Caenorhabditis elegans: one gene and its partners. The protein of the gene in region 1 purifies or fractionates together with the protein of each later gene. This does not show direct contact. Each region holds a gene or a part of one and is shown in the gene's direction. Other genes may lie near its edges. The genes, in order: gpd-2, pgk-1, aldo-1 and gspd-1.

What was found.
Region 2: the proteins of gpd-2 (region 1) and pgk-1 fractionate together in Caenorhabditis elegans (co-fractionation; one large-scale study listed by BioGRID). This does not show direct contact.
Region 3: the proteins of gpd-2 (region 1) and aldo-1 fractionate together in Caenorhabditis elegans (co-fractionation; one large-scale study listed by BioGRID). This does not show direct contact.
Region 4: the proteins of gpd-2 (region 1) and gspd-1 fractionate together in Caenorhabditis elegans (co-fractionation; one large-scale study listed by BioGRID). This does not show direct contact.

What each region holds. Positions count from the first base shown.
Region 1 is NC_003284.9:3,111,066-3,118,194, reverse strand, and holds gpd-2 (Glyceraldehyde-3-phosphate dehydrogenase 2), read left to right. Parts: upstream 1-3,505; 5' UTR 3,506-3,507; coding exon 3,508-3,747; intron 3,748-3,796; coding exon 3,797-3,925; intron 3,926-3,971; coding exon 3,972-4,628; 3' UTR 4,629-4,752; downstream 4,753-7,129. Other genes in the region: spc-1 (Spectrin alpha chain), read left to right, coding at 1-66, 123-251; mai-1 (ATPase inhibitor mai-1, mitochondrial), read left to right, coding at 2,630-2,839, 3,142-3,198; gpd-3 (Glyceraldehyde-3-phosphate dehydrogenase 3), read left to right, coding at 4,874-5,113, 5,163-5,291, 5,339-5,995.
Region 2 is NC_003279.8:3,863,713-3,871,210, forward strand, and holds pgk-1 (putative phosphoglycerate kinase), read left to right. Parts: upstream 1-3,828; 5' UTR 3,829-3,839; coding exon 3,840-3,983; intron 3,984-4,038; coding exon 4,039-4,163; intron 4,164-4,209; coding exon 4,210-4,534; intron 4,535-4,585; coding exon 4,586-5,245; 3' UTR 5,246-5,397; downstream 5,398-7,498. Other genes in the region: hcp-4 (HoloCentric chromosome binding Protein), read right to left, coding at 1-350, 403-1,388, 1,441-1,563, 1,613-1,819, 1,869-2,075, 2,181-2,225; coq-4 (Ubiquinone biosynthesis protein coq-4, mitochondrial), read left to right, coding at 5,509-5,804, 5,859-5,945, 5,990-6,142, 6,193-6,352.
Region 3 is NC_003281.10:13,560,892-13,568,176, reverse strand, and holds aldo-1 (Fructose-bisphosphate aldolase 1), read left to right. Parts: upstream 1-3,239; 5' UTR 3,240-3,257; coding exon 3,258-3,351; intron 3,352-3,451; coding exon 3,452-3,927; intron 3,928-4,166; coding exon 4,167-4,694; 3' UTR 4,695-4,831; downstream 4,832-7,285. Other genes in the region: exc-12 (Protein PNS1), read left to right, coding at 177-317, 415-522, 1,031-1,223; T05D4.2 (F-box associated domain-containing protein), read left to right, coding at 5,141-5,241, 5,410-6,253. UniProt on the Caenorhabditis elegans protein: May be involved in the metabolism of fructose-bisphosphate (beta-D-fructose 1,6-bisphosphate) and of fructose 1-phosphate.
Region 4 is NC_003282.8:11,313,200-11,321,671, forward strand, and holds gspd-1 (Glucose-6-phosphate 1-dehydrogenase), read left to right. Parts: upstream 1-4,219; 5' UTR 4,220-4,221; coding exon 4,222-4,347; intron 4,348-4,400; coding exon 4,401-4,607; intron 4,608-5,023; coding exon 5,024-5,099; intron 5,100-5,143; coding exon 5,144-5,396; intron 5,397-5,454; coding exon 5,455-5,756; intron 5,757-5,817; coding exon 5,818-5,955; intron 5,956-6,007; coding exon 6,008-6,209; intron 6,210-6,260; coding exon 6,261-6,437; intron 6,438-6,490; coding exon 6,491-6,578; 3' UTR 6,579-6,752; downstream 6,753-8,472. Other genes in the region: DnaJ homolog dnj-2, read right to left, coding at 1-92, 140-338, 383-596, 660-777; B0035.3 (Macro domain-containing protein), read right to left, coding at 1,016-1,219, 1,267-1,388, 1,436-1,675, 1,723-1,768; pfd-4 (putative prefoldin subunit 4), read left to right, coding at 2,009-2,095, 2,146-2,277, 2,351-2,512; B0035.18 (Mitochondrial cytochrome c oxidase subunit VIc/VIIs domain-containing protein), read left to right, coding at 7,121-7,269, 7,321-7,444; Protein edg-1, read left to right, coding at 7,607-7,690, 7,741-7,853, 7,903-8,173, 8,218-8,472. UniProt on the Caenorhabditis elegans protein: Cytosolic glucose-6-phosphate dehydrogenase that catalyzes the first and rate-limiting step of the oxidative branch within the pentose phosphate pathway/shunt, an alternative route to glycolysis for the dissimilation of carbohydrates and a major source of reducing power and metabolic intermediates for fatty acid and nucleic acid biosynthetic processes.

The sequences.
Region 1 (7,129 bases):
GAGATGGCATTCAGAGCTCTTTCGAAGGAATTCCGACCATATGTCACGGCAGAGGAGCTCTACGCGGTAGGATTTTTGAATATTTTTCCTAGATTATAAATATTTAATTTGTTTCATTTCAGAACCTGACACCGGAGCAAGCCGAATTCTGCATACGAAGAATGAAGCCATACATGGACGCCATTTCAGGTCGTTCCATCCAAGGTGGTCTCGACTACGAGCAGTTTGTGCATGCCTTGTTCCAGAGCTAATCTCGCCAATTGTCATATGATTTTAAATTTCTCGTTTCTTCCTACCACTGGTCACTTGTTCCTCCATCCAACAGTTTATTAATACTCCCAGATAACGTTTTAAATGCAAAAGGAAAAGTATAATTTGTACGCTTATTTGCCCTCCCCGCTTTTTCTTTGAATATTTTATTTTTACTTTGTCACTGTCTTTTTATAATCCCATCTTTCACAAAAGCAAAACACAATAGCATTATATTAATAGTTTTATGCAACAAACTATTCATTATTTTATGAATGGATTTCTCTTCCTTTCCGAATAAAGTCCTGCCATTTCATGTAATGTCCCTAAACAAAAACACTGATTTCTTTATTCCATTCCAGTCAGAAAATCGGTCATGTTTTGTTTTGATGTGCTTTTCATTTTGTACTCCACCCAAAATCATTGCTGATTTCTTTATTATAAGCTTTCGCCTATTTACTTTTAATGAAAAACGACAACTATGGAATAAATATTTATAGCTGCCAAGTGCGATGTTTTTTGGACTAATCAATAGGTACAGAGAACATTCTGGTAACACGATAAAGGATGTTATCAGATTGTATCGAATACTGATAAAAAACTTATTTTTTGTTTTTTGTGGGCAGTTCGCTTTCCTAGGTAGTTGTTTTTGTTTGATGTCATTGAAACATCAATTTTTAGTGAAACGAGAAAACCGGAAAATTTTCAACGAATTTGCCAAGTTTGAACTTTTGATTTGTTGATTTTTCGTAATATGATAGAAGATAGTGGGTTTTTTAAAAAACCTGAATTATGCAACTTTTTCTCAATGAACGTCACAAACTTTGTCATAGGAACTATTATTTAAAATATAGTGTTGGAAATATAATAATTTGGTTAAACTTGAGGTAAAGATGACACACTGTTTAGGCATGTTTTGGTAAGTTATTACATTACACGTTTATGATACATTAAATTTTGAAAAATTGTTATTGACAGTCAAAAAGTGGAAATTCCTGAGTTTTTGCCACTTTTTGAGAAAACTATAGCACTCTCGCCTGTTAGAATTATTGACTTCGTGCATTCAAACATATGCCATTAGAGTTTTGATCTCGAAGTGATTTTGAACTTTTGGTTGATATTAGCTTTTATAAAAGATCTCACGTATTCAACTGATCAGATACATTTGAATAAATTCTGATTCATCGTGTGTCTATTAGTAAATTAGATTTTCTTTCAGAAATTGAAAAAACTAGTGACTAGTGATCAGTGATAACTGATATAAAACATTCTTTGATGTCAATGAAAAACACTTTTCTCGTTGATTATTTTCCAACTCCTCCCATTTACTCCGGCCACTAGTTTGATCTTCAGAACGATTGACTAGCGACTGCGCCTTTTCATCTTCGTGTTGTTCTATATTTTATCATTGAAAACTTTCGGGTTGGAAAAGAGTTGCTCCAAGCGAAAAGAAGAGCAACTCCTCAAATCTCTTCTTTTCCTGTTACTACACTGCCGTTGCCTACGTGCCAACGGCCAGCAATCGTGTGTCGGCGACGTCGGCATCTCCATCGATTCGTGCCGGCTGGCTAGGCCGTCGTCGCACTCGCAGTTGGCCCATTTTCTCTCTATGCATCAGTTGAGGCTACCCGCCTCGCTCCCTTCACTCTCTATGTTCGCCTCGCCACGGCGGCTCCCCTAAAAAAACAGCGACCCTGCCCTGCCTTCTAAGGAAACAACACAACAGAGTTTGACTTCAAGGAGCTCACCGGAAACCAATGTTGCTCTTGCTCACAAAGACTTTTGAGGTTAGTAAATATTTTATTTCGTTCTTCTTTTTCTCGAAGGTCAAATGTTGTAAATGTTTCAAAGTCTTCAATTGTTTATGATATCAATTCACGGGCGGCTCGAAACTCTCTTCTCGACCCTTTCTCTAAATCCTCTGCAACACACGCACTATTTTCTACTAGATCAGAGTTTACTGACACACACACACGTTTTGTGCGTTCAGTTCACGAGAGTGCGGTGTGTGTGTGTGTTTGTGAGTTAATGTTTGTGCGTGTATATTGATGTGTGTGTAAAAAAAACAAAATCGATTGCCGTTTGGAAATGGGCGGCCCAGTGTCCTCGGTCTCCGGCCATCGAAACGCCACTCGCATTGTGAAATTTGTTTTGGGAGGGCCTGTTTGCATCACCTTCGCCCTTCGCTCTCACTCAAGATTACTTTACGTGCTACAAACTTGTGTGTGTGTGTTAGCTGCTTTTCTTCTTTTTCTTCTCAGAAATAAAAAAGGCATGCTCCCTTCGACGTCTTCTTGACAGCTTTCTTCTTTCGCTTCTCTTTACTTTTGGAGCCATGCTCATATAATCCAGTTAGTTCATTTCCAGGAAATCAAAACAGATGTCAGGATCTGGAAGTGGAAGTGGTGCTGGACATGGTGGAGGCTCCGGCGGCTCAATCCGTGAAGCAGGTGGATCACTCGGCATGATGGGCGCCACCAGAGAAGAAGAATACTTCCGAAGACAACAAAAAGATCAGTTGGACAATCTCAAGAAGAAGCTTGAAGCAGATATGACGCAAAGCCAACAGGAAATTCGGGATCATGAAAAGGTACGAGACACTCCATTTAAGGAAAACACGCAGGAAAATATTGTTGTTGATTAACTCGTTATTCTTTGATGTGTCACATGACACTGCCGAAACTCTTATCTGCGAAAGTGGCGTGTTCTAGAACTGATTCAAAATAGACCGGGGACTCCTTTCGAATCTCTCTATTTTACACAGTTGACCTTGATATGTTAGAGAGACGGGCGACTAGCGAGCATAATGAAGAGATAGATTGGTTTTCACAAACAATCTCTTTTTTTTTGTTTTCCACTACCTTTCAACGTTCTTCAATACTTTCATTTCAGGTTCTCGAACAACATCAGCAACGACTGAAGGAAATCGAGAAAGGACACGGAACATAAAAAATAGAGGGCTTTTCAAACGGCTCTCTGTTCTTTTTGCATCATCATTTTCAATTTTCCCTTTCTTTTTATGCATACTTATTCTCTCCTCTCTATTTTCTCTCTCACACCGCATTTCTTCATCTTGCCTATTGCATCATTTTTTTTTCGCTTACTGCACATGTTTCGTCAAATAGTAAACATGGTTTTTATGGCTTCACTTCATATTCTTCTCTCTTCAATTTGATTCGATTTTCATTTCGATCATTCTATTTTTATTTGTCGTTTGTATGTTAGTTGAACTGATTGTAGTAGTATCAATTTTCAGCCATGCCAAAGCCAAGTGTCGGAATCAACGGATTCGGAAGAATCGGACGTCTTGTCCTCCGCGCCGCTGTCGAGAAGGACAGTGTCAACGTTGTTGCCGTCAACGATCCATTCATCTCCATCGACTACATGGTCTACTTGTTCCAGTACGACTCCACCCACGGACGCTTCAAGGGAACCGTTGCTCACGAGGGAGACTACCTTCTTGTCGCCAAGGAAGGGAAGTCGCAGCACAAGATCAAGGTAGAATATTTTCCAAACATATTTTGTTAAACATTCTCTTAAATTTCAGGTCTACAACTCAAGAGACCCAGCTGAAATCCAATGGGGAGCCTCTGGAGCCGACTATGTCGTTGAGTCCACCGGAGTCTTCACCACCATCGAGAAGGCCAACGCTCACTTGAAGGGAGGAGCCAAGAAGGTAACTTGTAATCAACTTTTGTGCATAAATATATTTAAATTTTTAGGTCATCATCTCTGCTCCATCTGCTGATGCTCCAATGTTCGTCGTCGGAGTCAACCACGAGAAGTACGATCATGCCAACGACCACATCATCTCCAATGCTTCCTGCACCACTAACTGCCTTGCTCCACTTGCCAAGGTCATCAATGACAACTTCGGAATTATTGAGGGACTTATGACCACTGTCCACGCCGTCACCGCCACCCAAAAGACTGTTGACGGACCATCAGGAAAGCTCTGGAGAGACGGACGTGGAGCTGGACAGAACATCATCCCAGCCTCTACTGGAGCCGCTAAGGCTGTTGGAAAGGTTATCCCAGAGCTCAATGGAAAGCTCACCGGAATGGCTTTCCGTGTCCCAACCCCAGATGTGTCTGTTGTTGATCTCACTGCTCGTCTTGAGAAGCCAGCTTCCCTCGATGACATCAAGAAAGTTATCAAGGCTGCCGCTGACGGACCAATGAAGGGAATTCTCGCTTACACTGAGGATCAAGTTGTCTCCACCGACTTTGTCTCCGATACCAACTCTTCCATCTTCGATGCCGGAGCATCCATCTCACTCAACCCACACTTCGTCAAGCTCGTCTCGTGGTACGATAACGAGTTCGGATACTCCAACAGAGTTGTTGATCTCATCTCGTACATCGCCACCAAGGCCTAAGCTGTCTCATCCTACTTTCACCTAGTTAACTGCTTGTCTTAAAATCTATGCTTCTCTTTAGTATCTAAAATTTTCCTAGAAGCTTACAAGTATATAAATGGTCTCTTCTCAATAAAGGTTGTATATTTATTCATCTTATTGAATCTGCCATTTCCTCGTTTTTGCGAGTTTATATACCTTCCAATTTTCTTTCTATTGTATTTTCAACTTCTAATTTTAATTCAGGGAAACTGCTTCAACGCATCATGACCAAGCCAAGTGTCGGAATCAACGGATTCGGAAGAATCGGACGTCTTGTCCTCCGCGCCGCTGTCGAGAAGGACAGTGTCAATGTTGTTGCCGTCAACGATCCATTCATCTCCATCGACTACATGGTCTACTTGTTCCAGTACGATTCCACTCACGGACGCTTCAAGGGAACCGTTGCCCACGAGGGAGACTACCTTCTTGTCGCCAAGGAAGGAAAGTCCCAGCACAAGATCAAGGTAGAATTATTTCCAATTAGATTTCACCTAATATTCTATTCAATTTCAGGTCTACAACTCAAGAGACCCAGCTGAGATCCAATGGGGAGCCTCTGGAGCCGACTATGTCGTTGAGTCCACCGGAGTCTTCACCACCATCGAGAAGGCCAATGCTCACTTGAAGGGAGGAGCCAAGAAGGTAAATTAGTGATTTAATTTTTCAAGATAAATATATTTAAATTTCAGGTCATCATCTCTGCTCCATCTGCTGATGCTCCAATGTTCGTCGTCGGAGTCAACCACGAGAAGTACGATCATGCCAACGACCACATCATCTCCAATGCTTCCTGCACCACTAACTGCCTTGCTCCACTTGCCAAGGTCATCAATGACAACTTCGGAATTATTGAGGGACTTATGACCACTGTCCACGCCGTCACCGCCACCCAAAAGACTGTTGACGGACCATCAGGAAAGCTCTGGAGAGACGGACGTGGAGCTGGACAAAACATCATCCCAGCCTCTACTGGAGCCGCTAAGGCTGTCGGCAAGGTTATCCCAGAGCTCAATGGAAAGCTCACCGGAATGGCTTTCCGTGTCCCAACCCCAGATGTCTCTGTTGTTGATCTCACTGCTCGTCTTGAGAAGCCAGCTTCCCTCGATGACATTAAGAAGGTTATCAAGGCTGCCGCTGACGGACCAATGAAGGGAATTCTCGCTTACACCGAGGATCAAGTTGTCTCCACTGACTTTGTCTCCGATACCAACTCTTCCATCTTCGATGCCGGAGCATCCATCTCACTCAACCCACACTTTGTCAAGCTCGTCTCATGGTACGATAACGAGTTCGGATACTCCAACAGAGTCGTCGACCTTATCTCCTACATTGCTACCAAGGCCTAAGCCGCTTCAAATTCTCTAAGTCTGAAATGAATCTGTAACATAATAAATTCCACATTATTGTAACTTTGATTCTCATTTTCTTTATAAGAATAAATCTTTTAGCTGGAGTAACTAAAACTGTGTTGTTGGATAGAAAGCATTTTTCAATGGCTATATCAAATTTGAAACGTTGAATTCGAACCTTTCACGAGGTTTACACTCATTTATATTCTTCGTTGTGATTGTCCGTCATACAAACCCGATTAAGTTTCCGTCTAGCCTCTATGTTTACATTAAATTGAGAAGCGATGAGAAGTGTCCAGTGTAGAGTGCAATGTGCACTCAAAATGTCGGCACATTGTCACTTTGCTAACATTTTTCCCAGAGTCATTTGGGATACTTGTGTAGTCCCAAAAAATATTAACTATTAAGCTTAGGATTAGTGCTTTTCTAAGCCTGAATAGAAAACTTATTGGAAACAATTTTTGGTCACTTATGTAGTAGATGTATCACAATATATTTTCATAGGATAACTTTTTGTAATGGTAAACTCGTGAGAAATAATTATTTGTAGACCTAAAAATTCCAGATTTAATTTTAAAAATTTAATAATATTTTGGGGTACTTCTACTTTTCATCTACCTTTCCATATTTGATATTTCATTCGCAATTATACAATCTCAGAAAATTCCTATGGTCACGTTATTCTTTGTCGTAGACAGTTGAAAGATGAAGGAAAAAACGAGAATAGATATCACAAAGTCACGTGGCAAAATCCATCAACCTGTTGTTAGTGACGTTATTTTTTGCCTCAAAATGCGGGAAACGATGTACGCATGACTCTGACGAAGTCTGCCTGCTTCTACGGGTACACTTGAAATGAAGCATAGAAAGCTGGCTGCGTTTTTTTCTTGTTTCGCTTCACGCCGTTTTTCTTTTTCTCTTTATTCTCTTTATATTCTCTTTTGTGCGGGTGCGTTTCCAATTCCCCGGAGCCCATCTTCTTTTTTCCTCACTATTTCTTTTTCTTCTTCCATTTTGCCCTTCTCATCGATTCAGAAAAATTACTGGCTCGTGACAGAAAAGAAGAACCAAAAAAAAAAAGCATTTGGGGGCTCGGAACAAAATGAAGCAAATCCTCCCAAGTAAATGTAG
Region 2 (7,498 bases), on another chromosome or scaffold:
CGACAATCACACCACCATTTTCAGATCTTTTTTCAATGACCTCCGTCGCCTGATCCTCCTCATCATCCTCCAAAACCATGCGAACAGCGGCTGAAGAAGTTGTAGCAGTAGTCTTCGCAGGCGTATTCTTTCGTGAAGTTTCCTCAAGCAAACGATTAGCATCTTTCATATTCATCCTTTTGACGAGTGAAGCGAAAGTAGGCTGTTCATATCGTCGTGCCGGGGTCACTCGATTCACAGAATCAACGATATCCATCCTAGTCGGTGTTGAGAGCAGTGCAGCCCGAGCACATTCGACATTGTTGGTGGGTCCAATATTACGGATAGAATTATCCGTGTGCCGAATCGATCTGGAAAATGGAGAAATAAGAATAATATTCCGCAATTCGAAAAAAAACATACTTTGGAGTTGCGGCTTTCGATACATGCATTGGCTCCACTTTTTCTGGAACTTCTGGAACCGGCGAAACTCGAGATGCATTGAATGTTGGAGAGATATAAGACGAGCCAATAGAATCCGCTTCCATTGTTCGTTCTTCAGCTACCGATTCCATCTCAATCGTTCGCTCCTTATTCGATTCAGTACTAAGTCTGCTGGTTGCCTTGATTCGTGGCGGCGTTTGAACCACCGGTCTGATCTTTTTTCGGGGATGTTTGAAGAAGTTGGCTCCCGGCGATTGAATTTCTTCCTTTTCGAGCATACTGTTGTGAAGAGGATTAGAAATACTGGCATTACGTCGTTCTCGCTCATCCGAAGTGACTTTCGACGTTCTCCGTTTTTCTCCTCCTTCCATCGTGTTTTGTGCCAGTACTGGAGGCTTCACACCAACACTCGTGGTTCCTTGCTCGTATGCATCTCTTTCTTCAATAATAAACGTCTTTTGAAGAGTTGAATCGTTATTTTCATCTCTGTTAGCTACGTTGAAAGTTCTTTGAAGTGATGACTCATCTTTCTCGGTCGGCTTTGTGAACGTTTTCTGTAGAGAGGAGTGTTCTGCATCTTTAGCCACTGTGACCGTTCCCTGCATTTCCGAGCTCTGATTCTTCTCGATCGTCACCGTTTTCTGAAGTTCTTCAGGAGCATCTTTAGCCACCGTGAAGTTTCCTTGCAGCTGAGAGCTTTGATTCTTCTCGATCGTTACCGTTCTTTGAAGCTGTGATTGCTCTTTTGATGCATCTTTAGCCACCGTAAACGTTCTTTGCATTTCCGAGCTCTGATTCTTCTCGATTGTCACCGTTTTCTGAAGTTCTTCAGGAGCATCTTCAGCCACAGTGAAGGTTTTTTGCAGCTGAGAGCTGTGATTCTTCTCAATCGTGAGAGTTTTCTGGAGTGTTGACTCTCTCTCCTCGAGAATGGTTGGGATAACGACAGACTTGGTGTGAACAGTCTGAAACGATATAAAAGTTAGTTTAAATATCTTTAAAACAAACAAATTTTACCACTCTTTCAGCATCTAGTCGATCGGTATTGACGACATGTGAAATATCAAGCGATCTCAAGGACCTCATCGACGTATCACTCGAGCTCTTGGGAGTTGAACAACTTAATCCAGCTTTTCCACTCTGAAATTATAGATTTATTAAACTATGAACACGCAAATTCATCTCATACCCCTCTGGAATTAGCAATTGGCGAGCCCATCATCGACTTTTCACTGATGTGTTTCGGAAGCGCCGGAATGGCAAAAACCGAAGCGCTTCGGACATTTTGATTCACAGTGTTCTCGCTGTCGCTCTCACATTCGGAGTATTCACGACAAGCAATCAACTCTTTGAAGGTTTTCGCTCCGTACATTTCCTTTTCGAGACGTTTTCTGGCCTGAATATAGTTTATTAGGTGTTGAAAAGATTTTGTGACTGAAATTTACATTGTTAAGCTGTGTTTGTTTCCTTTTCTCCAAAATAGCGAACATCTGCTTCTCAGATAGTCCCTGTTTTCTCCATTCTCGCTCCTCCAAATTTGCACTATCATTCATCATCGATTCATCGACGATAACTGTTGGTTCCTCCAAGTACGACGGTCTTGTATCGTCCAAGCCAGCCTCACGAAGAGCAACGATTTCAGTGATCATTTTCTGAAATAAACAAAATAAGTAAGCAATCAAATTACCATAATGTGGAACTTTTTTTTTGTAAAAATCAAACATTTGTTAAGAATTTTAAAAATCTGAATCACTTACTCGACCAGGAACAATCGTACTGCGGGTTCGCGGTTTTCGATTCATTCTGCAATTTGATATCGTTTTGAAAAAAAGACAATTTTAAGAGGTGAATAAATATAAGCAAACTTCTCGATGTCAAATGGGAGCTAAATTTGAAAGTGGCGGTTTTGCATTGTACAACGGAGCGCGTTTGGTTAGAGGGGGAAGGCTACGAGAAGAGGATAGAGGAAACGTATTTATTGTTTTCTTTTCGCATTCAAAAGGCAAGAAGGTATTATGAGCCAAATATTGATTGATTTTAAGGGAGAAAGACACAGACTTTGTATAAAATAATAGCCGAACCAAGTCAAACGCAGTTTTGAAGAGAGGCCAATCGATACGCTTTGGTGAAATAAAGAAAAATGAATAATACTTCATCGAGATCTATTTATGCTTGTTTTCACGAATTTCAACAAGGCCTCCACGTCCCTAACAGTAGAAAATACTAAACGCAGAATTTATTAGTAGTTTTCTAAATAAAATTCGTGCAATATTAGTTGAGCGGTAGCTCTTTAAAGTACATATTGATTTCAACCAAGTTCTTCGAAAGTTATTTCAAGCGCGTTTTCATTTTTTTTTCTAATGATCCGCAAGAAAATAAAATTTTAAAACGAAAAGAGAAAAATAGAATAAAATCAAAGCCTAAAAATCAGACTCTAAAAATGATTTTTCCCGCCTGTCGGTATCAAGTGTACGGTATTCGTGGTGAGACCCGCGCCCCCGCGCAAAAAATTTTGAACTTTTGCGGAGATGTTTGCACAGACAGCATTTAACTTAACGCAATTTTGCATGCTTTCTATACTTTCGAACATTTATTGAGACCCGAAGAACTCGGGGGATGTCCAATTGGGGGGATTACCAACTCGGGGGATTGGCCTCACCCACAGAACCGTGGTTTGCAATACGCCCATTTCTGCAAATGCCGCACGGTTTTAAAACTGTATTTTTCTCAATAGAGCGAGAATTAACAAGAAAAAATAATTTTAAAACCGTGCGGCAGTTGCAGAAATGGGCGTATTGCAAGCCACGGTTCTGTGGGCGGGACCAATCCCCTGGTAATCCCCCCAATTGGACATCCCCCGAGTTCTTCGGGTCTCCATTTATTTTTTGTTTTTGCCTTTTTGTCTTACAATTTTGAAGGTTTCCCTTCATCGATTTCATCCAAAATTGAGAAAAAATGTTTACAAAATGTATTATTTTCATTTCTTCCAATTTTCTAATTCAGATTTTCCCTAAAACATTTGTGATTCTTGATTTTTTACTTTTATCTATATGAGTGACGTTGTTTTGACAGCATATTTGATCAAATTTCTAGAAATGGTTTGTTTTATCACTACTGTTCATGCCTTCTTAATTTCAAATGATCTTCAAACATTTATATTTGTGTTTTCGGTTATTCTTCATGTGTTTTTTATTTGATTCGTTTCAACCCATCCAAATGCGCGGTCTCTCGCTCGATCTCTCGTCTCTCTGCGTTTCCAGTGTAAAAGAGAAAGGCGAGCAACAACTTCTATCATTTCTCACGTCGCTCGTCAAAATAGTTGTCTTGTTTGTTTCTCAATTTTAACATTCTCTCCTGTTTTGACCATCTTTGAAATTTTTGAAAATCAATATCAAACAATTTCAGCATTCAGAAAAATGAGCTCCCTCAACAAGTTGGCTATCGACCAGTTGAACCTCGCCGGAAAGCGAGTTTTGATCCGTGTTGACTTCAATGTCCCACTCAAGGATGGCAAAATCACCAACAATCAACGTATTGCTGCCGCTGTTCCAACCATTCAGGTAATCAATTCAAATTTATTTCAAACAACATTTTCAATAATATTCAAAATTTCAGCATGCTCTTAGCAACGGAGCCAAATCTGTCGTTTTAATGTCACATTTGGGACGTCCAGATGGCAGACGCCAAGACAAGTACACCTTGAAACCAGTTGCTGAAGAGTTGAAGGCTCTCTTGAAAAAGTTTGTTGTATAATCTGATTTTAAAAAAATTACAAATGATTTTCAGAGATGTTCTCTTCCTCGACGACTGTGTCGGATCAGAAGTGGAGGCTGCATGCGCCGATCCAGCTCCTGGATCAGTCATTCTCCTTGAAAATCTTCGTTATCATCTGGAAGAGGAGGGCAAAGGAGTCGATGCATCCGGTGCCAAGGTTAAGGCTGATTCAGCAGCCGTAAAGAAATTCCGCGAGTCTCTCACCAAGCTTGGCGATATTTATGTCAATGATGCTTTCGGAACCGCTCACAGAGCCCATAGCTCCATGGTTGGAGTCGAGCACTCACAACGTGCAAGTGGATTCTTGCTCAAGAACGAGCTCTCCTACTTTAGCAAGGTAATTTTTTCCTCCAATTTTTCATATTGAATTTTATTATTAAATTTTCAGGCCCTCGACAACCCAGCTCGTCCATTCCTGGCCATCCTTGGAGGAGCTAAGGTCGCTGACAAGATTCAGTTGATCAAGAACTTGTTAGACAAGGTTAATGAGATGATCATCGGCGGAGGAATGGCCTATACCTTCTTGAAAGTTGCCCAGGGAGTCAAGATCGGAAACTCTTTGTACGACGAAGAAGGAGCGAAAATTGTGAACGAGCTTCTTGAGGCTGCCAAGGCAAAGGGAGTTCAAATCCATCTCCCAGTGGATTTCGTCATTGCTGACAAGTTCGCCGAGGACGCAACCTCGAAGACCGTCACCGCCGAGGAAGGTGTTCCAGATGGCCACATGGGACTTGATGTTGGGCCGGAATCTTCTAAGATCTTCGCCGCTGCCATTCAACGCGCCAAAACGATTGTCTGGAACGGTCCAGCAGGAGTATTCGAGTTTGATAAATTCGCCACAGGCACCAAGTCATTGATGGATGAAGTTGTCAAGGCCACCGCTGCCGGAGCCATCACAATCATTGGAGGAGGTGACACTGCGACCGCCGCCAAGAAGTATAACACGGAAGATAAGGTGTCTCACGTCTCAACTGGAGGTGGAGCCAGTTTGGAATTGCTCGAAGGAAAAGTTCTGCCAGGAGTTGATGCTCTTTCGCCAGCTCAATAATTTTCTAATTTCTATTGTTTATTCCTTGCCCAATAGTGTATTTGTATTTATTCTTTCTCTCTCTAAAAACTTTCCCACATTAGTCTTGAATTGTTCCCAGTGATTTCACAATCTTCCATGTAACATGAAGTATAAATAAAGTGTATAACTATAGAATAAATTAAGAGTTCACTTAATCGTAGAGTTTTTTAATCGTAGAGTTCCGTATATCTACCAATACATTATAGTCATTTTCCAATTGAAAAAAAAAGAAAAGAAATCAGATGTCTGCTCAAAAGCTATACGCATCGCATGTTCCCTTGGCACCGCTGTCTCGGATGCTTCTCGGGATTGGATCAGCAGTAACAGCGATCTCGGATCCAAAAAGAGGAGATATGGTGGCAGCGATGGGCGAAACTACTGCAATTGGACCAGTTTTAGAAAATATTCGAAAAAGAATGGAATCTGATGTTGTTGGAAAGCGACTTCTTCTCGAAAAACCAAGAATTTCAAATGGAACAATTGATAGAAAGTGGCTAAGACAGTTACCGGATGGAACATTAGGAAAATTGTATTCAAAGTATGTGAAAGTATATTAAACAACAAAAAAAAATTGAAAAACTTCAATTTTCAGCTTTCTCGATCGTTTGAACACATCTCCAGATGCTCGGCCCACTGTCAAGTATATCGATAATTTGGAGCATCTTTATGTTATGCAAAGGTTTTAAAAATCGACGTAAATAACAAAAAAATTCAAAATTTCAGGTATCGCGAAACACACGACTTCACCCACATCGCATTGGAGCAGAAAACGAACATGCTCGGCGAGGTAACAGTCAAATATTTCGAAGGAATTCAATATGGGCTTCCAATGTGTGTCACTGGTGGAATATTTGGAGGTGCCAGGCTTTTAACAAAGTAAGCAGAAAGAGAGACGAAACCATGAAAATAAAATTTAAAAATTCTAGAAATCGCCAAGAACTTGTCGACCGGAACCTCCCTTGGGTTGTGGAGCAGGCCACGAATGCACGATTCTTCATGGCTTTCGACTGGGAAAATCACTTTGAAAAGCAGCTCAGCGAGGTGCAGAAGGAGCTAAATATAACGCCATTATCTGTGAATATGTGATATAGATTTGATCTTGAATTTCTCAGTGATAATGAAAAAATGAATTAATTAATTTTTTTGGACCGGACATTAAATTTGAAAAATTTGGACCATTTAACAGTTACGGTATTACGATAACACTTAAATTCTGAGAATGCGTATTGCACAAAATATTTGACGAGCAAAATACTATCAAAATTTATGAATCGATCCTTCGATTTTGCAAAAATCGAAGGATCGATTCATAAATTTTGATAGTATCCCGTAGCGAAAACTACAGTAATTCTTAAAACTACTACTGTATCGCTTGTGTCGATTTTCGAAATGGATTTAAATATCGATAGAATACTAGAATTAAGCAAATATTAAGAAAATAATACGAAGCAACGCATTTTTTAATTTCGAAAATATTTCTAAATCGATACAAGCGCTACAGTAGTCATTTAAAGAATTACTGTAGTTTTCGCTACGGGATACTTTGCGTGTCAAATATGCTGCGGAATACGCATTCTCAGAATTTTGTGTTTACCGTAATACCAAAACGTTCTGCGACTGGCAGTTTAGTCAATTTCTTTGGATTTTGATAATTGTGTGATTTGTGAGAAAGGATTTATTGTACATGAAACTGAAAAAATGGAAAGAAACCGGTAATAGAGGCAAACGGGCAAGTTTTGGATGAGGAACGACGGGGGAATTGTGGAAAAATAAGCGAACTTCTCAATTATCGAATTTCAGGAGCTTCTGGACCTCCCGGAAATGGAACCGGATGTCCCTGATATTCTCTTCAGTAAAGGACATCCGGGATTTTGGAGAGTCCTCCAGGCGGTTGATATGATGATTTAAAGTAGCAACTTTCCTAAAATTATATTATAACATTGATTAGGAGGTGGCTTGTACAACTTACTGTTTTAGCACGTGTCTCAGCTTCTGCCGCATTCTCTTCAACTCTTTGGCCGATTGTCCAGTTGGGTTGCCATTGGGTGCCGTTGGGCGCTGGGGGTGAGTGGGAGCCACCCAGCAGTGGCAGAGGATGGTATTGTCAATTGTTTGGACTTTCCAGATGATGAGGGCCGTCGCGCCTAGCCAGGCTAAAAAAATATCTTGAGTGAGGAAAAAATTGATAGAAAATATACCACTTCACTCCAGGCTCATTGAAACGCCAGAGAC
Region 3 (7,285 bases), on another chromosome or scaffold:
TTGGAAATTTTTTGGATTGTTTTATTATGATATACGGTCGTTTTGGATTGTAAGTGTATTTAGACAAAATCCCCAATGGCGATACTCCACTTTTAACCACGTGGTATTCTTATTTGGTTGATTGATACAATTTGCACACACACACGAAAACTATTGTCAACATTTAAATGTTTCAGATCTGATTCCTCAACAATGTATGCATATGGTTTAAAAGAATCAATCGTGTTCGTATTTGTGGTAATTGTTGCAATTTTCTCTTTAATCGTTGCGACACAAAACTGCTCACAAATGATGCTCGCTGCTATAATTGGCCAAGGGTACGTTCGTTTTTTTCTGTTTAAAATTTTATTCAGTTAATTAAATTTTACCCAGATTTTTGTTGAAATTTTTATAATTTCTACAATTTATTTTCAGAATATGCATATTATCAATATCTAGTGAACTATTCACTTCTGAACGGATCTCTGCAATTTTTAACGAATTGAAAAGTTTTGAAACTGCCGGATCTACTATTGAAATTGGGTGAGTTTTGGGAACTCAATTTTTTTACTAGAATTTCTAGCATTTCGGGAAATTTTGAAGGGACTTCTAAAATGCACTGTTTAAATCATTCCAGCAGCAAATAAAAAAATCCGAAAATGTTTAGAATTTAATTTTTAAAAATTATTTTTAAGAACGTTTGGCGCAAAAGTGAAACTTTTTAACTTTAGAGAAGAATCATGAAAATCAGTGCAAAATTAAAATTTTAATATTTCAGAAAAGATGATGCAAAGGCATAAAATTGGACATTTAAATTTTCAACAAAAAAATACTAGACATAAAATTTAAATTCTAAGTTTTCCAAAACTTTATCGCTACAAATTTCAGTTTAAAAAAATTTTGCGCTAAATTCAAATTGAAATAATTCAAAAATAAATTGGTGCAAAAGTCAAATTTTAAACCGTCTTTTCTGGTTTTCAATTTTAAAATCTCTTGTCCAAAGTTAAGAAAACTCAGTTCTTCAAAATTAAACCAATAAAAAACCTTGCAGAATAGTCCTCTTAAACGGGTGTGCAGTGGTGTCACTACTCGTATTGGTCCTTCAATTGATTGTCTTTGTATTCTGCGTCTCTCCAATCTCCACACTCTCTGCCTCGTCAATCGGTTCTACGAATTCCTTACTTTTACTTGACAACAATCGAAATCCCAGTGGCAGCAATCGAGTCGAGAGAACCGCGTTTTGAACGTTTGCTCAACTTTCTCCGCTCTTCCCCTTTTTCACTTTTTCTCCAATTCTTTCAAAAAATAAAACTATTTCTTCATTTTTATTTTACTCTAAACTCAAAAATATTGGCCACATTCATTTAGACAAAGAACAACTGTCAACTATGGGTCAACATTTGACAGACATGAGCATTTCACGTGGGAAATGGCCAGATAGAGCATTACCTAGAGAAAATACTTTTTTCTATGTTCGTCTTACACTTCTCATCTATCTATATACAGGAAGAGCTTTTCGATAATCGAGTTTTTCAAAACAGTTTGTTGCTTTTTTTTTGGAATTGCTTAAATTTTCAGCTAATTGAGAATACGCTTGGTTAAAATTTTAAAACTTTTTACATTCCAAAAGCTTCTAAAACTTGCCAGTAACAACTTTTTCTCAATTCCGAGCTACGGTTTTCCCGCATTTTTCAAACATCTTTTTTTTTTAAGTTCCCAATATTTTTTTTTCAAAGATTTTGACAAAAACCATTTTTTCCGGCAAATTGCCGAAATTGAAATTTCCGGATCCCCTCTGATTCAAACTCTGAAAATTAGAAGAATATATATGTTAGTCGTGATAAGATGTTGCTTTTATAGATTTTGCAAGGCATTCTACCTAAATTTCCAATGGTTAAGTTTTCTTTGTGCACATTCAAATTCTGGGTCCATGAAGAAAAAAAAACAATTTCATAACCCTTCTACGTTTTCTCTAAACTCTCACTATTCGCACAATTGCATCATGCCTCCTCCATATTGCCATCTCACGCAAAAAAGCACATAGCCATTCTCAAAATATCTTTTTCACATCACGTCGTTTTCTATTCGCTGTCTTTTTTGTTGTACCCATGTTATAGTTTTGACATAGAAGCTCATTTTATTTACAAAAATGAATACATAGATGTATTGCTTGTTTTACATAAGATCCTCTTCTTGTTTTTTTTTGTCATGATTTGTCGTAGATTTTGAATTGTTTTATTAGTACGTGCCTCGCATGTTCTCGTACTTATAGTAGCCTTATAGGTCTTACGAGAATGCCCAGGGAATAAACAGAGCAGGGGTATACGGCAAATTTGCCAAATTTGCCGTTTGCTGAGCTCGGTAACTTTGCTGAATTTGCCGAGCAAGACAAATTTCAAAAAAGTAGATTTGTTAAATTTTCCGAGCTCTGCAAATTTCGATATTTGCCGCACATGCCAAAGTTTTGACATTACAACTTTGACCAAAACCATTGGTTTTGTCCCCAAAAATTGAGTAAAATGACACAAAATTGAGTTATTTTGATAATTAATACAGAGCGAGTTACGGAATATGGCAAACGAAAATGCAGTTTACTCTAGTTTTTTTTTAAATATAACTATGTGGTCTAAACCCTATAATATTGGAAAACTAGGTAAATTGTGTTTTTATCGTAGGGGCAAGTTGGCTCATTTTCGAATTAAAAAAAAAAAACAAAATGTGCCAAGTAGGGTCGATTCCTCTGAAAAACGATTGCATCATTCCAAATTTCGTAATCTCTTTTACATTATTTCAATTTCAGACTACTCCAATGAGTCCTAAACTAGGCTCGAGCTCATAGCCCGGCTGCTCTAAGTACGCCAGAGGCATATGTCTGAAAAGCAATTTCAACTTTCATATCTTCATATCTCCGCACGCTTCCGTGAACCAAATCAAATCAAATCCTCCAACGTTGAAAAGTTCAAGACTTTGGCAATTCCTGCTCCTCTCGCTTCTTCAAACTATTTCTCACGTTCTGCTCCAACAGCAGTTCTTCTTCTTTTACTTCTCACAAAATTTCGTGCAAATCACGTAGGGCCCCTCAATTCCCTCTCGCCACTCTGCACGGCTTCTCACACACTCTTGCTCTCTCGCCAGGGGCTCTCCGTCTCCCTTCTCGGCGGTGCCATCGATTCGTTTGGCGCGAGAGAGAAAGCTCCGGCTCTTTTCACTTTTATCAGCGGCCCTTGTTTTTCACCGACTTCACTCTTGCACATTTTCAGGCAACTTCATTTTCTAAAATGGCTTCTTACTCGCAATTCTTGACCAAGGCCCAGGAGGACGAACTCCGCTCCATCGCCAACGCCATCGTCACCCCAGGAAAGGGAATTCTCGGTAAGTAACGATATTAAATTTGGGAAACAAAATTTGGCATTTTGTGTGTTACAAATCTAATCTCTAATCTCTCCAATCTCCCTGAAATTCGAATTTGCAGCCGCCGATGAGTCCACCGGATCCATGGACAAGCGTCTTAACAGCATCGGACTCGAGAACACCGAGGAGAACCGCCGCAAGTATCGTCAACTTCTGTTTACCGCCGGAGCCGACCTCAACAAGTACATCTCGGGAGTCATCATGTTCCACGAGACATTCTACCAAAAGACCGACGACGGAAAGCCATTCACTGCTCTTCTCCAGGAGCAAGGAATCATTCCAGGAATCAAGGTTGACAAGGGTGTCGTCCCAATGGCCGGAACCATCGGAGAGGGAACCACTCAGGGATTGGATGACTTGAATGCTCGTTGCGCTCAATACAAGAAAGACGGAGCACAGTTCGCCAAGTGGAGATGCGTGCACAAGATCTCATCTACGACTCCATCAGTGACTGCTCTTAAGGAAATTGCCTCCAACTTGGCTCGCTATGCTTCAATTTGCCAACAAAATGGACTTGTACCAATTGTTGAGCCAGAGGTAATTACCGAGAGTCGAGAGCCGAGAGTCGCACAGCACTGGTACCTACCCACCTAAGTTCCTTTTGGGGGGATGTAGTCGTAGATCGGCTTGAATGTAATACTTAGAACGGTTTTCACAGAAAATTTTAATATTCGATGCAAAACCCAAGTTAATGCCACGTCCGTTACTTGGGTCTCGCAGCAGTTTTTTTTTTGTAAAAAAAATATAATTGGCACTCTAATTAGTTATCATTTCAGATCCTCCCAGACGGTGAACACTGCTTGGCTCGCGGACAGAAGATCACCGAGACCGTGCTCTCATATGTGTACCACGCTCTCAACGAGCATCACGTCTTCCTCGAGGGAACCCTCCTCAAGCCAAACATGGTCACCTCCGGACAATCATTCACCGGCGAGAAGCCATCGAATGCCGATATCGGACTCGCCACCGTCACCGCCCTCCAACGCGGAGTCCCATCCGCCGTTCCAGGAGTCGTCTTCCTCTCCGGTGGACAATCCGAAGAGGATGCCACATTGAACTTGAACGCCATCAATCAAGTGAGCGGAAAGAAGCCATGGGCCCTCACATTCTCCTATGGACGTGCTCTTCAAGCCTCCTGTCTCGCCAAGTGGGCCGGAAAGGACGAGAACATCGCAGCCGCCCAAGAAGTCCTGCTCCATCGTGCTCAGGTCAACTCCCTTGCCTCTGTCGGAAAATACACCGGGGATGCTTCAGCTGACGCAGCCGCTTCCCAATCCCTCTTCGTCGCCAATCATTCTTATTAAATGGCCACGCTCAGGATCTCTTTTTTCTCATTTTTTAAAACTATTCAACGCACGTAGAATTATGTGTCTGTATACCCCTTTAATTGTCATTATTTGCTTCTCTAAGTCTCTTCGGATTTAATAAATCTTTGGTAGATACGAATGCACAATTAAAGAGAGATGTATCTTTGGAACATTTGATTCAAGCAGACAGACAATTGAGCGATGGCTCGTCGCGATGCATTCATAGTGATGACGTCAAGATGTCTTCTACTACTCACTATTCCTTGTAGGTTTATGTGTCTGCTCAATTGTTGAGAACAGAAGGTGCCTAGTGTAAGTGCGAGAGAACAATTTCCCAGTGGAGCCGTTTAACCTTGGGCAGGTGCGATGCACATTTTCAGATCGATATCTAACCAGTTGCACACTATTCGCAACGCATTACAGCCATTCATTTGTCCATTGCAATGTACTACCGCGAAGTGAGAGGATCTGAGATCTTCTATACCAAGTACTATGGTCCGCCAACTGAAAAGGATACCTTGGCTGCCAAGAACCCTTTTGAAATGTAAGTGTTTTTAAAACTAAATTTTCTAAATTTCCAATAGTAAATGTGTTACACCCTGTCGTTGGATTGTTTTTGTTTTCCAAGTTGTTTGATCTTCAGAAATCGACTAACCGAGATTTTTAAAAGTCAAACGAATAAATCAAACAAAACCAATATAAACATTTCCAGGATGGACTATGCCTTAAAATCCCCGGAGCACCTAACTTCCGCCCATTCATACACAAAGAATAACCACTGTCAATGCTATGAAATCGCAGTCGATATCTGTTCTGAGCCACGTGTTCGTGTGAAGGGTCTAGACCGTTGTTGGGAGTACCAGATCCAATCTACCGTGAATGCTCCGCCAACTCCTGGAGAGATGCGAGTCATTGAATTTCTCAAGGTTTACACTACGCGTATGTATTCAGAAGATAAGATTGAAGGACTAAAGAAGTGGACGGAGAACGTAACTAATGTACTAGACTTTCCAATTCATACGATCAACTTCTCACTGGACGCCTTTCCCCAGCAAAACCGAGAAATCATCGATTGGCTTGCCAAAATTAGAAAGGACATTCCAGACGTTAACATTTTCGGGAGCAATGTGGTAAATGAAGATTTGCTCTATTTACTCCAAACTGTCAATATCACCGATAGCGTCGAGTTCCACTTGGATACCGCTGAAATATTTCCTTACGACATCCCAGTCCGCGCCAAGTACTTCTTGAGCTCTCAAACAAAATGGATTAGCATCAAGCAACTTATGAAGCTGGAGTGCACTGATATCATCGCAAACGACACTGATTTCACTGACGAGGAGCTAAGCACGTTCATTTTGAGTTGGATGAAAATGGAAACAAATGAGAATTTGACTTCTTTGATGACTCCGATCAAGTCCCCTAAGGCGGTTCTTAGCAAGTTACCTCATGTGATTGATGCGAAGGGTAACGTTATTCTGACGCGGGATAATGAAAAGAGAGTCTGTTTCTACATCTTGGAGAAAAATGGACTGAAAAAGCTCATAATGAGATAAAATTTTAAATATTTTTTTGGCGAATAGTAGATATTTTTTTCATTGTATTTATGCTTTCCGAAAAACAAGCTATGTATGTTTCTCTTTTTAATTTTCGTGATATAACACTCTTCTTAAAGTTTACTATTTCAATTCACATATGCCAAAAAGTGTAAATTCTGAATATCCTTTTATTACAATAAACATGTTCACCTACTCTTGCAACGTGAAGCGTTTTTTTTTCAATTTCTGACTAAAAATTCGTTTAATACGGTATCAGGTCTCGACACGATCAAAAAATTTCTGTATTCTCTATTTCAGCACAGGTTTTTTCACGAAAGCATTTTAGCGGGTTTTTTAAAATTTTCTAGGGTCTTTTAAGTTCAATTGGTATTTTTTTTAATTAATTAAAAATTTTAATTCTATATCACTTTCAAAATAAATAATACCAATTGTATTGCATTTCATAACATTAATGACTACAGTACACTTTAAAGGCGCATCGCTCAAAGTTACAAATCAGGTCTCGTCGCGAACTTTATTTGCGAGCAAGACATTTATTTTTTTAAACCTTTTCAGGCTTTGTTTCTCCATTTTCTTCGATTTTCATTCATTTTTCTATGATTTCTCTATTTTATTGTGAAAATATGTACTTTTCGTTGTTTTATAACCGTTTTGCTGTTTAAAATAGATAGCATCTGCATTTCCGAGTAGTTTTCCTCTTTGTCGAACTTGAGAATTTGTTTTCGAGGCATTATTGATGATTTAACAAGTCATTCTGAGTTTAACTTGTTAACTTTTAAATGTTTGCCGTAATTTTTGTAAAATTTCCAAGAAAAGCCCCAATTTTATTCAGATATTAGAGAATTCCGTGCTAAATCCGAAGTATTACAGTAAATAGGCCGGCAAAAACCGTAAAATCGAGAGAATATAGCCACGAAACGTAGAGAAAACAGAGAAAATCCTTGGGATATTCTCTCTTCCGAATCATGACCCGATTCCGAATACTTTCGCTATTTTCTCCCCGCGTTGCGCACGGCTTCCTCATTTTCT
Region 4 (8,472 bases), on another chromosome or scaffold:
TCAAGATTATCAATAATTATTTGCTTGATAACTTCATCATTGTCAACTCCTTTGTTCTTTTTTAATTTTCCATTCCGATCCATTTCCAGCAACTGAAAGCTAGATATTAATTACAGTGCAAGCTTAAAAATCGACCTACGCCTTTATCAATTCCATCTTTAATTGCCATATTGCGGAATTTTCCAACACCGGTTGCATATTCGATTGCTTCTGAGAACTTGTGTTTTGCAGAGAGGAATTGGAAGAGTGAAATGATAAGAATAGTTCCAACAATGACAATTCGAAGATCTACTTTTGGAGCGGCGCGAAGACGATAATATTGATAGTAATTGTAGAATCTTAAATAAAGAATATTTAAGTGTTCATATTCAGAGCGTCATACCTTTGATCAGGATGATCGAGATAATAGTCGTAATTAGTTTTTGCTTCATCATCCTTAAGTGTTTCATAAGCAGTGGCAATTACTCGGAAACGTTCTTCGGCGAGAAGCTTCTCTTCCTTATTCTTGACTCTATCTGGATGATGCTTCCTAGCCAGAGCTCTATATGCTTTAGCTAGCTTCTGCTTATCGAATTCCTCACGATTGACTTCGAGTACTGTAAATATGAATGCATTTATAGTTTTAACGTTTTCAGATCTTCATGAAAGTTTTGACTCACCATCATAACAGTTTTCTAATCCACAATAGAGCTCTGGAGCAAATCCGACCGATTCACATTCCTGGACGAAAAATGATACTAGTAAGAACAAGATGGGCGCCGCAATTGCTGAGCGCATTCTGCTGAAAAACAAAGATTGAGAAAAAATTTAAAAATGAGAACTGAAATATGAATCACCGAAAATCGGAAAATGAGAGAAAAACACAAATAATCATAGGTGAAATGTGACATGTTTATGAAGCAATCAACACCGGAAACAATGTAAACATTACGGATCAAAACCGATCTGATAGTGAGATTATGGAGTCAACATAAAATAAAAATAGTCATGTACAGTAAATGTGCAATAGAAAGTTTTAGGCGATACTTTGATCCTTTGATGCAGCATAATCACCGAAATACTTATTGTAATGCTCGTTGTCAATGTCAAGGAATGTAACAAGTACAATCCGTTCAATTGTATCATTCTTTTCAAGATACTCGGTCAGGAAATTGGTGACGGTTTTAGCGGCATCGTCATTTGGATAACCGTACACACCAGTAGAAATGCAACAGAAGGCCTGAAAATATATAATATTTGCAGTTATTTTTCAGATGAAACACTTACAATACTCTTCATCCCGTTCTCGATAGCAATATCTAGTGATGTTCTGTAACATGCAACAAGATTTTCACGCCGTTCATCTGTGACATTTCCATATACTTGTGGACCAACTGTGTGGATTATTTCTGAAAATTCCAATAAAATACGATCAAACAATGCTATAAATACTTACTTTTGATGTGATTAATATTGCATCCAGAGGTAATGACAGCATCTCCGACAGCACATCCGTTGTATTGCTGGCATTCTTCCTGTAGTTGCTTCCGTCCAGCTGCACGATGAATTGCACCATCAACGCCACCACCTCCAGCTAATCGACTGTTTGCTGCATTGACAATTGCGTCGACGGAAAGTTTAGTAATATCTCCATCCCAGACACTGATACGGCCCAGAACGTTTTTGGCAACCTTGACTGAAAATTGTGTACTATTTTAGAATTATGAAACGCCTGAAGCTTACATTTTTCAAAGAGAGTTGGAATTTCTGAAATTTTAGCTGCTGCCATTTTTTATCAGCCTTAAATTTGAACTGATAGTGACTTAAAAACAAAACAAATTAGGATAAAACAACGCGTGGAAGAAATTGTTCACGAGGACTACACGCAACATGGACTAGAATTTCGTGCGGCCGTGGCTGAGTTTTCTTATTTTTATGTTTCTCTCTCCAGAATTTTCTGTTTAATATCTTTTAATGTTGTTTCTTCGTTGTTTCTTTAATTAAATCTTTGAATTAAAAATAATTTAGAATGCCGGAACACACGAAAGTTTCTGCTGAAGACCAAGCGCTTCTCAATAAATTCGCTCGGTCATACCAAACACAAACCCAGTTAAAAGTACGTTTTTTTTTAAATTTTACATTAAAGTTTCTCTTCTTTAATTTCAGGCAGACGTTAAAGAAGCTAAAACACTCATTGACAATATCAATGAAGCAAGTGATGAAATTTTGTTGCTCGATGATGAGGATTCAGCATCAATTCCATGCAGAATTGGAAGCTGCTTCGTTCATTTCAATGGGGTGAGCAGTTTTTTTTTTAATTTGAATTGAGAATTAACGTTTGGTTTACACGAAAGTAGTGATTGGTTTTCAGGATAGTCTGAATGAGCATTTGGAAGGAAAGAAGACAACAGCAGAGAAGGTTTTGTCTGAGAAAACCTCCGAGTTGGATGCAATCTCAGCGGACATGGAGCAAATCAAGAAGGTTTTGTACGCCAAATTCGGAGATCAGATCAATTTGGACGCTGAAGAATAATCTATAAATTCTAATTTCTTATTTTGCTCGATTTTGTATCTTTTCCGTTGAAGCTTTCATATATAAAAATTATCTCAATTTAAAAATTGCTTTTCTCACCTTTTTCACAACGTGTGCTCACTGTTCACTGTTTCCGCGTATTTTGCTGATGAATTTTTTCGACCGATTTTCCTTATCACGAATGGCACCACCCACTTGTGGGTCACACCAGATCCTAAATATCAATATAGTGGACGGGAAGAGGAAGGTTTTTTCGTGTTTGGTGTTCATTTTAGTTTACATGTTTTGTTTCCCATTGCTCTTTATTTATAGAGGAGACGCTCGCCCACGTAATATAATAGCATTTTGGAAAAATCCATTATCTTTCAGACAATCTTATCATGATTTCCACAATAGACTGGCTAGAATGTAGCATTCTAAATATTTGAATTTAACAGAAAATATTCAATTTCTCTTTAAAAAAATACTTGAAAATTAATTATATTCCCAAATTGGCAACATTCTTTCCCGATTGTCTTTCTGTCCATTTAATTTGTCTGCCCTTTCTTTTCTCACCTTTTTTATCCGTTTCTTTCTTTGTCACCTCCGAAGTTTTGTCAGCATTTTCCGTTTTTTTCTCCTCATATTTTGTTTGCACTTTTCACCTTCTAAAAAAATGATCGGCAGAGACACAAATAAATGTGGCCATTCGTGTGCTCCGTTTTCCAAATGAAACCCGATTGGCAGAATTTATGGTTGAAAATGCATAGTTATTTAGGAGTTGCAAAGAACAGTTTTCATTCTTCTTTTTCTTTGTCTTCTTGTTAATTTGGTAAACTGATCAGACGTTAATCAAATTGATAAACTTTCAAGTTCAGTGATTTTTGATTTGTTTTCTGAAAACGAAATTAGTTTTTTCTCTGATAGACTAAGTCTTCGAAGAATTCATCTTCCAGATAAAATCCAAAAAAAATGTGTTCCAGAATATCCTAGTCGGTCAACTAAAAGTCAAGAACCATAGATTAAATCTAGAGTTACAAAGTTTCGTCTCTTCTCCAGAGTCAAGTTACTCGAGTTTTTATGTTTCCTAGAGAAATACATTGTTTCTTTTCATTGTCGATCAATGTCGCCCAGAGAACATTATTTGTCATGGTTACCACTCGCACACACTACACAATTTCATTCAGTCATCATTTTTTGTGACCCGAGAAGATTTCAGTAAATATTTTCATGTTTGTAAAGAGACTGGCGCATCCACTTTTCTCTTACTGTTTCTTTCTTCTCTCGCTGCCCTGTGAAAAAAATGGAAGTGGAGTAAAAAGTGACCGATTTATAGTGTTGTTCCAGTTGTTCCAATTCATTTATATTGTAGACTGCGGTTCGCTACTAGGTATATGATTCGAAAGGAAAAATTACATTTTTTAGTGCTAGAAATTAACATTATTCCATTAAATGTAACTAGCTGAAAGTAAGCAGTTTATTACTCTGCCAGTAAAAAAGAATTGCGCAGAATCATTATGAAGTACATCAATATATCAATTAACGTATTTCTTTTTGATTTTTCGTTGTATAAATGAAACAATAATCTCACTTTTAAATAACATTTATGTGTATCTAGATGGTTTACTTTGAAACTTGTAGTTTCTACTATTTACCTCTCAACACGAGTAATTTTTGTGAATCAATGTTCGTCATTCTCACTTCAAAATCTAGTTTATAAATTTACAGAAATGGCATGCAAACGTCATTCAGTGTCCGATCCCATTTCGAAGGATCTCGTCGAGTGTCTTCGTGAATCAATGCAAAGAGATCTCAAATTTGAGACTCCGTACGTTTTCGTGATATTTGGAGCATCGGTATGACATCTATTCCATATATATCGATTATTAATTATTTAACATTTTTTCAGGGAGATCTCGCAAAAAAGAAAATATACCCAACACTGTGGTGGTTGTTCCGTGACAACCTTTTGCCAGTCAACATCAAATTTATTGGATATGCCCGTTCCGATCTGACAGTTTTCAAGCTTCGTGAATCTTTTGAGAAAAACTGTAAAGTTCGAGAAAATGAGAAATGTGCTTTTGATGACTTCATCAAGAAGTGCTCATACGTTCAGGTAAATCTACATCTGCTAATAAATAGGCGTGAAACTTTGTTCCAAAAATACAGTGCTCGGTCTCGACACCACAAATTTGTGTTAAATGCGAAAACGTATCACCTTTAAACAGTACTGTAGCTTCAAGCTTTTGTCGATTTCAGATTTTAAAAAAATTGTTTTAAAACTGAAAAAAAATAATTGCAACACATACATTTTTTTTACAAATCAGGTAGGAAAACTACGAAAACCAACAAAAACTTGAAACTACAGTACTCTTTAAAGGCGCGCACTTTTTTGCATTCAACAAAAATTGTGGGGTCGAGACCGGTTACCGTATTTTTCGCACAAAATCTTGTTACTGGGTAATAAAAATTTGAATCGAAGCTTTTTTCTAGAAACTTTGAACATAAAAAGCACCATTGACATTTTTTCAGGGCCAATACGACACTTCTGAAGGATTCCAACGCCTTCAATCTTCAATTGATGATTTCCAAAAAGAAAGCAATAATCGTAGGTTTAGAATTAAATTTCACTCAATCTAAGCAAATTTATAGAAGCCGTCAATCGTCTCTACTACCTCGCTCTTCCTCCATCAGTTTTCAACGTGGTTTCTACGGAATTAAAGAAGAATTGTATGGATCATGGTGATTCATGGACACGTGTTATCATAGAAAAACCATTTGGACATGATTTGAAATCATCTTGTGAACTTTCAACTCATTTGGCGAAACTTTTTAAAGAAGATCAAATCTACCGTATTGATCATTATCTCGGAAAAGAAATGGTTCAGAATTTGATGGTTATGCGGTAAGAATGTTTTTTCAAAGTATTTGAAGAGATTTATAATTTTATTTTGAACTTTCAGATTTGGAAACCGAATTCTCGCTCCATCTTGGAACCGCGATCACATTGCATCAGTTATGATCTCATTTAAAGAAGATTTTGGAACTGGTGGCCGTGCTGGATATTTTGATACAGCTGGAATTATCCGTGATGTTATGCAGAATCATTTGATGCAAATTCTAACTTTAGTCGCCATGGAGAAACCAGCAAGTTTGAATGCTGAAGATATTCGTGATGAAAAGGTCAAAGTGTTGAAAGCTGCTAAAGTTGTAGAATTAAAGGATGTAGTAGTTGGACAATACATTGCCAGTCCTGAATTTGATCGTGAGTTTTTCAAAAATTACAATTTTATAAAAGTTTTGATTTTTAAATACATTAATTTTAGACCCAGAAGCATCACAAGGATACAAAGATGACAAATCAGTTCCAGCCGATTCGACTACTCCAACGTATGCTCTTGCTGTTGTTCACATCAATAATGAACGTTGGGAGGGTGTTCCATTCTTCTTGCGTTGTGGAAAAGGTAGGGAATATACAAAAAAAAACCGAATTTTTAAATTTCAATATTATTGCAGCTCTCAACGAGAAGAAAGCAGAAGTTCGTATACAATTCAAAGAAGTCAGTGGAGATATCTATCCGTCTGGTGAATTAAAGCGATCCGAATTAGTGATGAGAGTGCAACCAAATGAGGCAGTTTACATGAAACTGATGACCAAGAAACCTGGAATGGGATTCGGTGTTGAAGAAACTGAACTTGATTTGACTTATAATAATAGGTTAGTTTTTGAAATTTCTCTTCAAAAAAAATTTCATTGTGATAATTTCAGATTCAAAGAAGTCCGTCTTCCTGATGCTTATGAACGCCTATTTCTCGAAGTATTCATGGGATCTCAAATTAATTTCGTTCGAACTGATGAGCTTGAATACGCTTGGCGTATTTTGACGCCAGTTCTCGAAGAGCTTAAAAAGAAGAAAGTTCAACCGGTTCAATATAAATTTGGAAGGTTGGTTGTGTTTCTTTTTTTTTAAAATTAAATACAGTAATCCAATTTTTCAGTCGTGGTCCAACTGAAGGTGACGAATTGATGAAAAAGTACGGTTTCATCTTCACTGGAACATACAAATGGGTTGCTCCAAAGCTATAAATGATACCAGATCTTCCTCTATTCATTCTCTTTCAAATGTTTGTAGAAATAACTTCAAAAATTCAGCAGCTACTAGTTCATATGTTTTCCTGTGTTCCACATCAATATTATTCCTGCTCTTTTTTCATTTGTTAATGTTCTATTGAATGAATGAAAATAAATACGTTTTCAGTTAAAAGAAGTGTAGAACGATAAGATAAGCCAGTAAAAAGGCTTATTTTAAATAATCTGTATTCAAAAAATAATCATTTTTTCGACAAGCCGGTTACGGTGCGCCAGTCCGCAAACACTCTGCATACACTCTACTTCTACAGTAGTGGACGTGCGACGCGTGTTGCGTCGCGCATCATCATATTGTTCAATTCTTGTTCAAGTTCAATCATATTTTCTTCGGATTTCTATCATTTTCCATCGGATTTCCCATCATTTTTGCACAAATGTTTTAAAGTATCAATATCTTTGATTTAAAAAAAAACGTCTTTCTTGTTTTACGTCTTTTTCTTGCTAGCTGCACATCGTATTACTCATTCTTTTTTTCAGCCATGGTTGCTGCTTCCGCTACCCGGAACATGCTCCAATCATATGGAAAACGTGGAATTTACGTTTCACTTGCTGTCGCTGTCGTCTCGACTGCCGCATTCAACGCATTTTACGTTTGGCCACGTCACAACAAATATGAAGAGTTTTTCGCGTCAGTGTGATCCTCGCACAAGTGTCTCCCGGGCAACGAGCAAACTTGCAGAAACTACGATTCGTACACTCGAATGAAAGAGATTTGTTCTGCTAACAAGGGGTACATGCATACTTGTCCAAAGGAATTGGCGAAATTGTACGAAGAGAAAGGGAAAGTTGTTGCCGAGCACTAAATGTTTGATAAATTATTCATAATAATACAAGTCAATAAAGTCTATCATTTCTTTATTCAGTTATTTGTTTTATTCTTGATCAGTACTTTGTGGTTTGTACCACATTCATATATTTTTATCTAAAATTTTCTATCCACGAAAAACCTCCCTTTATAGATAAAAATGGTCGAGAATAAGAGTTCGTACGAACTGCCTGATCAAAAAACTCTTGATATGAACAAAGAATGGGTGCAGGAGCTGGAGGATGTGAGTTTCCAATTGTTTAGCTTATAAATATATTTTATTTTTTATTTCAGATTTTCTACAGCTACAAGAAGTACGATGTGAACAAGGTCAGAGTTCAGCAGTTTTTGGACAGAAGATCCGATTTCCTCGTCTATGACTTTTACACCTCTAACCTGTCAATGGAGTATGTGAACAATGTCACCTTTAATAACCTCATTTATACAAATTTTCAGTGCGATGCAGTATTTCCAAGCAGGTGTAACTCAAAAGGACGTCGGACTGAGCAAAGACTACATCCTGCTCATGCGTAAACTGTACAGTATGCTCACGGAGCCGAGCAAGCAGTTTTTCCAGGAGCAATTCGTTAAGGAATGGCAATATCACGAAATTGATTATACGCCATATTTCGAAACACTCGTTCCCCGATTCAGGGAGAAAATTGCGAGATTATTGGATGAAATTGTCAAAAATCCTGAAGAGGTCGACGACGATGTTCAGGAAGAGGTTGGATTTATAATTTTGAAACAAAGTTCATATTGATATTTCAGTTGCGCTGGCACCTGCTCTTCTCACCAGTCACCACTCTTCTGGACATTTTCACTCGATGCCTCAAGAACTTCGAAATCACTGGATTTTGTTTAAATGTGTGCCTAAAAGTGCCACAATTGTTCTTCGATCGTCCGCTGAAAATATATCACACTGAATACGAAACCGATCGCGTTGAATCACTCATGGCTCTGGTTTTCCGCAGATTGATTTTCAATAAGCGCTGGGTGGATACAAGTGACGAAGAGTGGAGCAAT